Mus musculus: one gene and its partners. The protein of the gene in region 3 purifies or fractionates together with the protein of the main gene of each other region. This does not show direct contact. Links are inferred from orthologs where the notes say so. Each region holds a gene or a part of one and is shown on either strand. Other genes may lie near its edges.

The links.
Region 1: the proteins of Kpna2 (region 3) and Polr3f purify together in Homo sapiens (co-immunoprecipitation; 3 studies listed by BioGRID and IntAct, with this or other methods). This does not show direct contact. The link is inferred for Mus musculus from reciprocal best matches to the Homo sapiens genes KPNA2 and POLR3F.
Region 2: the proteins of Kpna2 (region 3) and Chd4 purify together in Homo sapiens (affinity purification with mass spectrometry; 3 studies listed by BioGRID and IntAct, with this or other methods). This does not show direct contact. The link is inferred for Mus musculus from reciprocal best matches to the Homo sapiens genes KPNA2 and CHD4.

The regions. Positions count from the first base shown.
Region 1 is NC_000068.7:144,526,795-144,530,540, reverse strand, and holds the start of Polr3f (DNA-directed RNA polymerase III subunit RPC6), read right to left. Parts: upstream 2,797-3,746; 5' UTR 2,678-2,796; coding exon 2,616-2,677; intron 1,839-2,615; coding exon 1,721-1,838; intron 1-1,720. UniProt on the Homo sapiens protein: DNA-dependent RNA polymerase catalyzes the transcription of DNA into RNA using the four ribonucleoside triphosphates as substrates.
Region 2 is NC_000072.6:125,094,793-125,098,538, forward strand, and holds the start of Chd4 (chromodomain-helicase-DNA-binding protein 4), read left to right. Parts: upstream 1-1,188; 5' UTR 1,189-1,468; intron 1,469-2,231; exon of another isoform or gene 2,232-2,294; 5' UTR 2,295-2,373; coding exon 2,374-2,473; intron 2,474-3,746. UniProt on the Homo sapiens protein: ATP-dependent chromatin-remodeling factor that binds and distorts nucleosomal DNA. Acts as a component of the histone deacetylase NuRD complex which participates in the remodeling of chromatin.
Region 3 is NC_000077.6:106,997,264-107,001,009, reverse strand, and holds the start of Kpna2 (importin subunit alpha-1), read left to right. Parts: upstream 1-1,484; 5' UTR 1,485-1,651; intron 1,652-3,674; 5' UTR 3,675-3,697; coding exon 3,698-3,746.

The DNA of each region.
Region 1 (3,746 bases), on a different chromosome or scaffold from region 3:
AGGATAGCTGTTTAAATGGACAATCTGTTGTCGAATTACAGAACAGGGGGCTGAGCATACCGTGTGAGCTAAGTGAATATTCTACCTCTGAGCTCCACTCCAAACTCTCAAGGGGAAGCACAGGTGACGACAGCACTGGCTGGCTGGCACTAAGCGAGAAACAAGGTGCATGCACACTCAGAAAAGGGACTGTGGCCCAACCTGGGGGCGCCAGGTCTCTTCCTGGAGATAGCAGCAGAGCTGAGTCCTGAAGAATAGCAAGGAGTGTTTCTACACAGAAAAAGGAAGCCCAGAAATCCAACTTCTCTTCTTTGGGTGAAAAGATAAGTCACTGGCCCACTGTTTGCTTTTTTATTAATAAAATTTCGTCAGAAAAAAAGCCACATCTATCTATTTATGCTTCATTGTTCATGGCTCATGACTGCTTCTTGTTAAAATGACAAATGATACAGTTGTGACAGAAACTAGATGGGCCACAAAAGTTATTTTATTTACTACTTCATAGAGAAGTTTGCCAATTCTGAGCCACGAAGGTAAAGACAAAGGTGTAATAAAAGATTCGACTATCCCTATAATCTCTGCATCTAGAGCCTTGAAGTATAACACAAGGCTAGAAGTTTAAAAAACAAAACAAACAAACAAACAAAAACACAGTAATTCAGAAGAGGCCTAGTGTAAGACTAACTAATAAAACCAAACTAAAGAGTCCTTGGGAAAAAGGCATATAATGGTTTGTGAAAGAAGAGCGACATAGGGGATTTAAAGTATGTGGTAGGACATTTTTCAAATGCTGCAAGAGAGGCATTTGGGCTCTAGGCTCTTGGGCTTCAATGAAACTCTACTGCACTGTCTCTGAAGCTGAGGCTGTGCTTTATCCTAAAGACCCTCAGTGGGACTTCTTCCTGCTCTTGACAAGCTCAGAGTGACCCTGTGATCCCCAATCAATAGGCTATTGATAACTCACAAAAAACTCACAGTGGAAATATTTTATAGGGAATGGCTAGAAGCTAGCAGGAGGAAGTATAACAAGTTGAGAACAGACCACACCCACGTGTCTTTTTGTGTCACTGAAGCTAATAACAATTAGTTATAACAGAATTGCATGCAGTTCCCTCATCTTGTCAAATGGCAGGCAGATGAGTATTTTTTTCTTCCTATTCAGACATTCTGATCCTTTCCTTGGTTTGGAATCAAGCCACAAATTTTGGCCTTACAATTAGTATATTGGCTTACTAGAAAGGAGGCTTATTATGCGATTATTGCTCCGTGTAATTAAGGTGGGGGGAGAATTCTTGTACGTCTCCTGCAAGCTGGAGACTAGAGAAGGCCAGCGGCACAGATCAATGGCACAGACCGGATGCATTAACCTCGGTGATGGGAAGTCAATGGTATAGATGGGATCCGAAAGTCTAAGGACAGAGTGGTGAAGGCAGAAGGCTGGCCCTGGGGCTCAGAGTGGGCTGGGGCAAGTTCCTGTGTCCTCCATGTCTTTGGCTTAGGCTGATACTAAATTGGATGGTGCCCATTCACTGCCTACAGTCAGCACATCAGTTCAAATACCACATTCTAGAACATCCCAGAAACAGCAAACAGGCAGATATCTAGGATCTCAGAGCCCAGCCAAGCTGACACATAAGGTTAGCCATCACAACGATATGACAGGAAGCAATGAAAACCAGAATATACAACAAATTACATGAATTGGTTGACTTCACCTTACCATGGATAACAGTCTATTGATGGCCACTGCCCGCTGCTGGGCTTCAATGTGAGGCATTTCGTTCTGAATTACTTGATCTGTGATTCCATGAGGGAACTGGTGGCATAATTCTATAATTCTAGGAACAACGGTATAAATGGTTTATGTTTGCTTGCTTTTAAAGGCAAATAAGGAAGATACACGATAGTCAAGCTAAAAAGCTCAATGTTGTCAATGGGAATAAGTACAGCAAAGTGACTCCAAGGTCTGTGGGCAGAAAGCAAATAGAATATTCGGGGGTGGGGGTGGGGGGCAGCATAGTGATTCACCATAACTGGAGTCTTGAGAATTATCCCCTCCAAACAAACTGGAGGGATTAATTTGTTTGGAGGTGTAATAAACTTATTATCCACAATAATAATGTTGAGAAAGTCGTCTTTTAAATACATTATAACCTAGAAACACATGTGCACTACGGGAGTTAAGGCACTCACTGAACCTACTTGGCTCAATGGTCCTTTGTAATCACAAACTGAACCCTCATTTGGCCCCAACGTTCTCTTATAGAACTTCCCTTGGCAACCGGGCAATCCTGGATTCGAACACATGTCCAAGAACTACAGGGAAAATGCAGGTCTCTCTTCTGGCCCTGGCTGCTGTCACGTTCCAAGTGCTCTAATAGAATCCCGGAGAACCCAGTTCCACAACGTTTCAAGCTGTCCCGCTGCTCTAGAGCTTCTGAAGAGTTCTACTCTCCCTAATCGGGGCGGGGGGGTCGCCCAGACACCCGGCAACCCCGCTCCCGCGTGCTCGACCAGTCTACCCCAGCCTCTCCCCGCGGGACTGAGAGAGAAGGGGGTCCCGCTACCCAGCTGACTGCTCGCTTAGCGTCGGGAGCCTAGCTTTATTGCAGTACCTGTTTTCTATCTCCACCGGATCCGCGTCCGGCGGCTGCACCTTGACCTTCACCTCCGCCATGAGGGCAGTTTTCGAGACTAGAGGAAAAGTGGCCCCTCGGAGCGCGCTGGAAGTCTCGGGAACCGGTGGAGGCGCGCGCCGGGGACCGAGGCTTGAGAGAGAGGCGAGGGACCTTCTTCATCCGGTCGCGCTGGGCCTTCTTCATCGGATCGGCTTGGGGCGCCCGTGCTGTGCCTGCTCCGCCTTGCTCGGCAGGGTCGCCACAGCGACTCCCTTCCGTTGTCTCAAATTTCAGTGCTTGTCGGACAAGAGCCTCTGGCTCCAGTACGCACCCTTCAGCCTCTTCCAGCCGCCGAGAAGGCATATTCTTGGACACCTACAAGAAAGTGTCGCAGAAGGATCTGGAGGCGGGTACCAGACGGAGGCTGCAGCCAGAGACAAGGGCGGGGCTGGTTGCTAGGATGTCGATTTCCCTGCCAATCATCTGCTCGGCTCCCGATGGGCGGGGCGCGGTTCGCAGCGTCTGTGGAAACGCAAGCTGCAGCGGAGGAGCTGTGGTGAGACCGTGAGAAACCTGACAACGGGTTGGCGGCGGCGGTGCTGCGTCGGGGGTCCTTAATCTCTGTCCTTGAGGCTGGAGAAGGGTGAGGAGAAGGGCATCTCTCACTGGGTTGGGAGGGAATTAGGCATCTCTGACTGCCTCGCGAGGCCGAGGGCATGACGCAGGGTCTGGGTCCTGGTTTGGGCAGCGAGGAGATGGTTCAGGTGCAGGATGTTGGGAGATGCTGGTGGCATGACACTGACACCAGGCTGCGGTGTGGACCTAGCGAATCAGCCATCTCTGTCTCCTTCCTGTGAGGTCCAGTGACCACCCCAGGTTTCCAAGAGCAGCTAATAGCTAACCGTGAGCACTTCAGTCTCGAACCAACGGTGTTTATTTAGAATCTAGTTTTCAGCTATCTTTATTTTAGCTGACTCTCACTCGAAGGGAAATGTGAAGGTAGGCGAATCCCTCTACATCCAGCGTCATTTCTGAAGGGTCAGATACCTGTAGTTTTTATTCTTGGTCCTCAATCTGGAAGAATCCAAAAAGGCATTAAATTCGTCTTTTAATTCTAATTATCTCGCT
Region 2 (3,746 bases), on a different chromosome or scaffold from region 3:
CATGAAGTTTTATGCAAGTGTTTCATCTAGTCAGCATATTATTTGTTTGAGTTTACACAAACATTCAAAGCTGGAGGGAGGTAAGTATCTAGAACATACCTGGATTTGGTGGGGTTTGTTGGGGCTCGAGGTTGGCTCTTGGTTCCTGAGTGTCTGCAAATGATGAGCTAGGAAGTCTGGGGGTCCTGAACTTTGAGAGCCCAGAATGCTCCTATTGCCCAGGAAGGGACTAAAGTGTGTGCTAGTGGGGACAGGGCAGTTAGCAGTTTGCCACACCCTCTCTGCTCTAGTTGGAAGAGCCTGACAACTTCTAGAGGTGGGGGAGGTTGTGACAATTAGGGGATGTCTGGCCAGACCTGTGTGCGGTGATGGAGTGTAGCAGAAGTATTATGGGATGTGGCACTGGGTTGTGTTGGGACAATTATGGTATCGTGGGCTTTTTGAAATTATGGGATGGGAGAGTAGATAGAGTAAATGATAGGACATTTTCCCAGTGTTAGTGGAGGAGATTTAGATGTCCATTTGTGGGGTGACAGCAGAGCTGCTGATCATTAGTGAGTATCTCTTTGCTAGGAGGAATGGTAATTTATGGACCATGGAGCTAGAAAGAGACTGGGAAGGCTGTGGGTGGTAAAGTGAGCATCTAGAATCTCAACCCTAGTGCAGGGACTGAGGGCAGCTCTGGGGGGGTTGGATATTATGGGATATCAGTATAGAAAGTGGGAGACTGATTATTACGGGATCCGTGTGGGAGGAGGCCCAGTGTCCGTTGTTGTAGTATGGGGTGGGTGAGTTTCTGACAATCATGGGATGTCAAACTGGGGGTGGTTATTATGGGATGTCGGTGGGGGATGGGTTGAATATTATGGGATATGAGGCTGAAGTGCTGGGAGGGGTGCTTATTATGGGATGGCCAAGGGGAGGGAGGGGTAATGAGTTATTATGGGATGTTAGCAGTAAGGCCAAGAGTGAAGAAGTTGGCAAAGAGTGGTTATTATGGGTTATCTAAGGGAGGGGGAGCAGGTTTTAGTTTGTAAAAGATCTGCACTATATGTCTGTAGCCCCGGGCACATATATGCATAGAGTGTGGGGGGCGGGGTGTGTGTATGTGGGGTGTCCGTGTGTATTATGGGATGGCCAGGAGGTGGGCGGTTGCCCAGGTGACGCGCGCGCGCGCTCGACGGGGGCGTGGCCAATGGTTGCCTGAGCGACGAGGGGGCGGGGGTTGCCCGGGAGACCTAAAGAGGAGGGTGGCGGTAGTGGAGGGGGGGGTTGGAGTTGGTTGAGGTTATTATGGGCTGTCCGTGGGGGGCGGGGCCTGTGCGGTGGGATTTCCCGGCCGGTGTTTCGGGCCCTTTAAGAGGCGACGCCGGAGCCGGAGCCATTTTCCCCCCTTCGGCCGCGGCGAGGAGGAGCTGGAGCGGGAGTGACACCGGCGAGACCCAGCGCGACCTGAGGCGGCTCTAGGGTGAGGAGCGCGCGAGGCAACGGGAGAGACATCTCTCTCAGCCCGACGTCGTCCCGGGGGTCATTCCTTCACCTGTCCCTTCTTCAGGCGTCCCGGGGCCCGCGGGCCGTCCCCTCTCCAGGGAGCCGACCCTTCTTCCCCGGAGGCGGCCGGGTTACCTCCAGACGGCGCCCTGCCCTGAGGGAGTCCTGCTCCCCGCCCCCCCCCCCTCCTGGGCTCGGCCTCCCACAATGCCGGGCGAGCGCCTGCCCGCCCGCCCCTCGCCCTTTGCTCGCTAGCCCCCCGGGACACGTGGCCCGGCCCCCTTCCCGGTGGGTGCTCGCTTTCCTCCGGCGTCCCGACTCTTCGGGACCCCGGAGCGCCCGAGCCTCCACGCCCCCTGGTCCCCGCCGTTCCGGAAGAGAACCTGAGTTGTCCCAGAGGACAGCCTTTGGAGAGCTGCCCTGTCTGGGGACTGGCCCCTCCCCGGGCGCAGAGGAGCGCCCCCCCACTCCCAAGTGACCTTGTGTCCCCGAGCACCGGCCGCCTCCCCTGACCCTCTCCGCGCCTCCCCACTCGAACCCCACTCCCCAGGCACTCCTGGCTCAGGCCAGGCTAGCTTCTTCCTTCCCCTCCATGCACCAGCCTGCCCTCGGGGGCGTCATTCCCTCTTCTTGGGGGCTCCTGCTGGGGAGCCGGCTCACGGGCTGTCCCCGAGGAGTGTGGAACTAAGTTCAGCCTGAGTGGTTCGGGTGCTTGGCTAGGGTGGTAGGGCAGGGGGGCGGAAAGAGCGGGTGGGGGAGGGGGACTGCGCGTCACTCACTGTTCTCCCCCCTCCCCCGCACAGTGACTCGGGCCAGTGCAGAGGGCCCCAGGCCGCAGGCAGGAGCAGCTGGGCCAATTCCCTGGCCGGGGAACGGAAGGGGATGGCGTCGGGCCTGGGCTCCCCGTCCCCCTGCTCAGCGGGCAGTGAGGAGGAGGATATGGACGCACTTCTGAACAACAGCCTGCCCCCACCCCATCCAGGTAACATCTTCCCGGAGGGCCCAGGGCAGGAAGATGTTTGATCTTTCCTCGAGACTCCAGTGAGGCTGCGTTCGCGCGCTGCTTGTCCCTGTGCAGAACCCAGGGTGGAGGGCATCCGAAGGGAGTGGTTCTTTTCTGCGGAGCTCTTGTGTGCTGGGGGGTGCTGGGGGAGGTGGAAGCCATGTGCCTCTTGGGCACCACGGACCCAGATGCAAGCTGGCTTCACTCAAGGCTGTCTGGAATGCTCCGCAGTCCCCGGTTGAGGGAGCTCTCTGGGTTAGCTTTACCTCGTGCAGGTTCTTGGAGGAATGCAGGTGGTTCCGACTCTGGTGGTGACATGGTGGGGTGCGGTGGGGATTTCTGTTGCGGGAGCCCTGCCAGGCATCTGGGATCCCGCGGTTGTTCCCTGGAGAAGAAAGCGAGAGTGTTGGTTGCTTTCTGTCCCGATCTCTTACGGGTTCTCTGTGCTGTTTCAAGAGTGTAAAGTTTGAATCTCACTCTTTATCAGATCTGTAGAACTTTGTTAGTCAGATTGTTGGGATTTTTTTGAGTGGAGAAGGATGGAGGGCTAGGAGAGGCAGCATGCAGTAGCCTAGTGAGGGCAGAGGGAGGGAATTGGCCCTTGGTGTGGACATAATCTTGGATCTTTACTAGGGGCTTCCGCCACTCTGAGGTAGCTTGGGGTCTGGTCTGGATTGGTGGCGTGAGGTGTTTGTGTGGGTGTGTTAGGGTTTGCACTGTGTTTTGGGGTTGCTCCCTGGACTGGCTAAACCCGTATTATTATAACCATCTTGCCTGAGTGCCTGCCCTCAAGTGATGGCTGATGTCATGCTTGGAAGTGGATGTCTTTCTCTTGTCTCCTTATTTAGAGCCCCCTTAGTTAAGGCACCTATTGGCTTGACTCCCCCACATTCATTGCAAGGTCGGTATCTTCTCTGCGTCCACGTAGTTTCCTACACCGTGGAGCCCGGCTGTCCTGGTTACTACCCTGTGAAGCCTGGCTGTCCTGTTTTTTGTTCCTTACGGCATGGCTCTCACTTCTGCCTTTTCCTGAGCCCCAACTGGAGGGTGAGATATCCAGAAGAAATCATTTTCAAATTTGTCATTTAAGAGAGCCATTATTCTTGCTGCTGAGTCCTAGGCTGCTGAGATAAGGGACTTAGATCTGTGTCTGATCACTGAGGTGTAGGCCTGCGGAGCTCTGCCTTTGCGAGGGTGAGGTGGGTAAGGAGGAAGACTTACTTTTCCTTCCTTGTCTTTATGAGAGGCTGGG
Region 3 (3,746 bases):
ACACTATATACATGTTACATATTTTAAAATGTGCCGAAATGTTAACATTTGGCAAGTCTAGGCAAAGGTTTGTGATTCTGTGTTCAGAATTACTCAAGTTTTAAAGTATTTGAAGGCAGGCAGTGGTGGCACACTGCCTTTAGTCCCAGCACTCTGAGGTCTGTGGAGTTCAGTCAGGTCTACAGAGACACAGAGAAACCCATTAAGTGTGTGTGTGTGTGTGTGTGTGTGTGTGTTTGGGGGAAGGGAGCAAAATAAAGAAATAAATAAAAAATTTTAAAGGTTTGGAGAAAATAGGTATTAATAAGTTATTGGTTTTTTGTTTTTGTTTTTCGAGACAGGGTTTCTCTGTGTAGCCCTGGCTGTCCAGGAACTTACTCTGTAGACCAGGCTGGCTTCGAACTCAGAGAACTCAGAAATCCGCCTGCCTCTGCCTCCCAAGTGCTGGGATTAAAGGTGTGCGCCACCACCACCGGGCTAATAAATTATTGTTACCATATTTGCTGCTTCCATTGTCCTTTTTCTTTTTCTTTTTTTTTTTTTTTTTTTGCTTCTGTCCTGGAACTCACTCTGTAGACCATGCTGGCCTCGAACTCAGAAATCCGCCTGCCTCTGCTTCCTGAATGCTGGGATTAAAGGTGTGCGCCACCACTGCCCGGCTTCCATTGTCTTTATTTTCCAAGTAATCTAAAAGTTTACCACACGGGACAAAGTGGGGCATGTCTGTAATCCCAGAACTGACGTTGAGGAAGGATTGCATTAGGTTCAAGGCTAGCCTGGGCTCTATTGTTAATGTGAGACCCTGCCTCAATCCCACTCCCCATGATAAAAATTAAATAACCAGTAAATAGCACAAACAATAATATAGCGATACAACTAATGATTGCCTAAAGATAAAATAATCAACAAATACTATAAACAATATAGTGATACAACTAATGGTTAAGAGGCACACAGATCCACGTTCTCCCGGTGACCAGCTCCTGATGTAAAATTTTTTTAAAGTAAATATATTTCTCTTTTCTTTTATTGATTGATTGACTGATTGGTTGATTGAGACAGGGTCTCACTATTTAGCCCTGGTTGGCCTGGCTGTATAAACCAGGTTTGCCTTGAACTCCTAGTGCTGGGATTAAAAGCCTGCGCCAATCACCGCAAGCTAAGCCTTTTTTTACAAGTGTAATAATAATTTCGTGTGTTTGTTTAAGGACAAGCCCAGGGAAAGCAAACAGGGTACGGCCCAGTGTCCATCTAAGCATAGACGAAACGCAGGTCTCCATGCTGTGTGCTGAGATCTGGAGTCACCCTTCTGCAAGGCACCCTGGGATTGCCCGGCCGCTCCCTCATCTCGCGACGCTTCCCTGCTTACCGCCCCACCCCCACCTTTTTTTTTTTTTTTCCCCTACGACCTGCGTCTGCGTCCCACCCCCACCCCCGCCTAACGTGTTTTTCAAACCTACCAATGAACGCGCAGCTTAGGCTCAAATCAGCCAATCGGAACGCGGCGTCACCGGGAAATTTAAATCGCGCCGGCCGGCAGCACGAGGCACAAAATCTGAGGGCTGAAGGGTAGCAGACGTTTCCACAGCCGCCGACCCGCAGCTTGAGTGTCCTGCACCACCTTTCGTGGAAATCTGAGCCGGCTGTACAGGTAGGAACGGAAGCCGGTCCTGAGCAGTAACGGCCGGACGGAAGGCTGCGGGGCGGAGGGCGGGAGCAGGCCGCGCCCGGGCCGGAGCTGAGCCTCCCTGCTCCGACCAGGCCTCGGGGCGGGTTGGTTTCGCCACGCCGGGGTCAGGGTTGGCAACGCCGGGCGCTGCGGAGGGCAGCGAAGGCCTGGGAGCGGCTCGGGTCGGCGTGGAGGGACCGGAGGGCAGCCGCAGTCGAGCGGACCTACCTGGCTGTGCCGCCGCTTTCCTGATGCTTCTGCCCCGGGGAGGAGACGCAGCTTTGGGCAGGGGATGAAGGTGGCAGTTAAGACACCCCAGTTAAGCCCTTGACCCGGATCACCTGGGTCAGGGTCGAGGACGGACATAAAGCAGTTAAACCTACTAGCTTACCAGGGTACTTTGGGTTCCTGTCCCTTCGCGACGACCACACCTGGGTTCTATCGAGCCCCACTGATCACAGCTGATGTCATCCCGGCTGAATGCATTCTCTGGAAGTGTGTGCAAGATGCGGCGTTAATGCCATTGCTGACAGCGATGATGTGATGGAAGGCCCTATAATGGAACGAACCGATTCTTTATGTAACTTGCAAGAGGGTACTAGTATGGATCCGTTTTGGCCATCGATCAACAGAAAACGAGAGCTGCGTTTATTGCCTTAAGGACGTAGATGGTTGCCAGGCATTGTTGGCGCACGCCTTTAATCCCAGCACTTGGGAGGCAGAGGCAGGCCGATTTGAGTTCGAGGACAGCCAGGGATACACACAGAAACCCTGTCTCGAAAAATAAAACAAACAAAGGACGTAGATTGTTCTCCTACTTGGTGTTCTATTAACTAATGGAGCCTAGAATTTAGATCCTTGACTTAATACCGTGCTGGCTAGAGGCTTAAGACTATTGAGTGTTTGAAAAGCCGCTAATCTGTTGAGATGCCCCGTGTGCTTAAACTACCCATTGGATTTTGAAGGTGTATAAAAACAGTAAGACATCTCAATTTTTCTGTATTGATGACATCCTCAAATGGTAATAGTTTAGCTATATTGGGTAAAAGTCTTAAAATTAATTTCCTTCCTTCCTTCCTTTCTTTTTGTTTTTTCGAGGCAGGGTTTCTCTGTGTAGCCCTGGCTGTCCTGGAACTCTGTGGACCAGGCTGGCCTCGAACTCAGAAATCCTCCCGCCTCCCAAGTGCTGGGACTAAAGGAGTGCGCCACCACTGCGGGGCTCACTGTGGTTAGTGGAAATTTTAAATTATCTTTTTTTAAAATTTTTTTTGATTGACAGTTAAGTTGCCTTTGTAGTAAGGGGCAATTATGGCTTAGTATTATAGCCATAATGATGAAAACTTGTAGGATTTTGTTTTGTTTTTATTTTATTTATATATTTTTGAGACAGGGTTTCCTGAGTAGTCCAGGCTGTCCTGTAATTCACTCTGTATACTAGACTGGCCACAAACTCAGATCCGTTTTACCTCTGCCTCCTGAGTGCTTGGAGTGCTTTGCCATCACTGCCAGGCTGTGTTGTGTCGTCATCTTTGTTTTTGTTTTTTTTTTTTTTTTTTTTGGTTTTTGTTTTTGGTTTTTCGAGACAGGGTTTCTCTGTATAGCCCTGGCTGTCCTGTCCTGGAACTCACTTTGTAGACCAGGCTGGCCTCGAACTCAGAAATCCACCTGCCTCTGCCTCCCAAGTGCTGGGATTAAAGGCGTGTGCCACCGTTGCTGCTTTTTAAATCTAGTATAGAAATGGAGTTGAGATTTAGTTGATTATAACATGCTATTGTATATTTCTGTTTGTTTCATCTTAAGATAGGGTTTCTCTATGTAGACCTAGCTGGCCTGGAACTCTCTACAGACCAGGCTGGCTTCAAACTGATAGAGATCTGGTTGTCTCTGCCTCCCAAGTGCTAGGATTAAAGGCGTGTATTACTCTACCCAGCTTCTGTTGCATTCTTATTAAAAATACTTTTTCTTTGTTTCTTTTTTTTTCTTCTCACCCTCCCTTGGCTCCTAGCTTTCCTCCTTGTTCCTGCAGCCATGTCCACGAACGAGAATGCTAACTTACCAGCTGCCCGACTTAACAGGT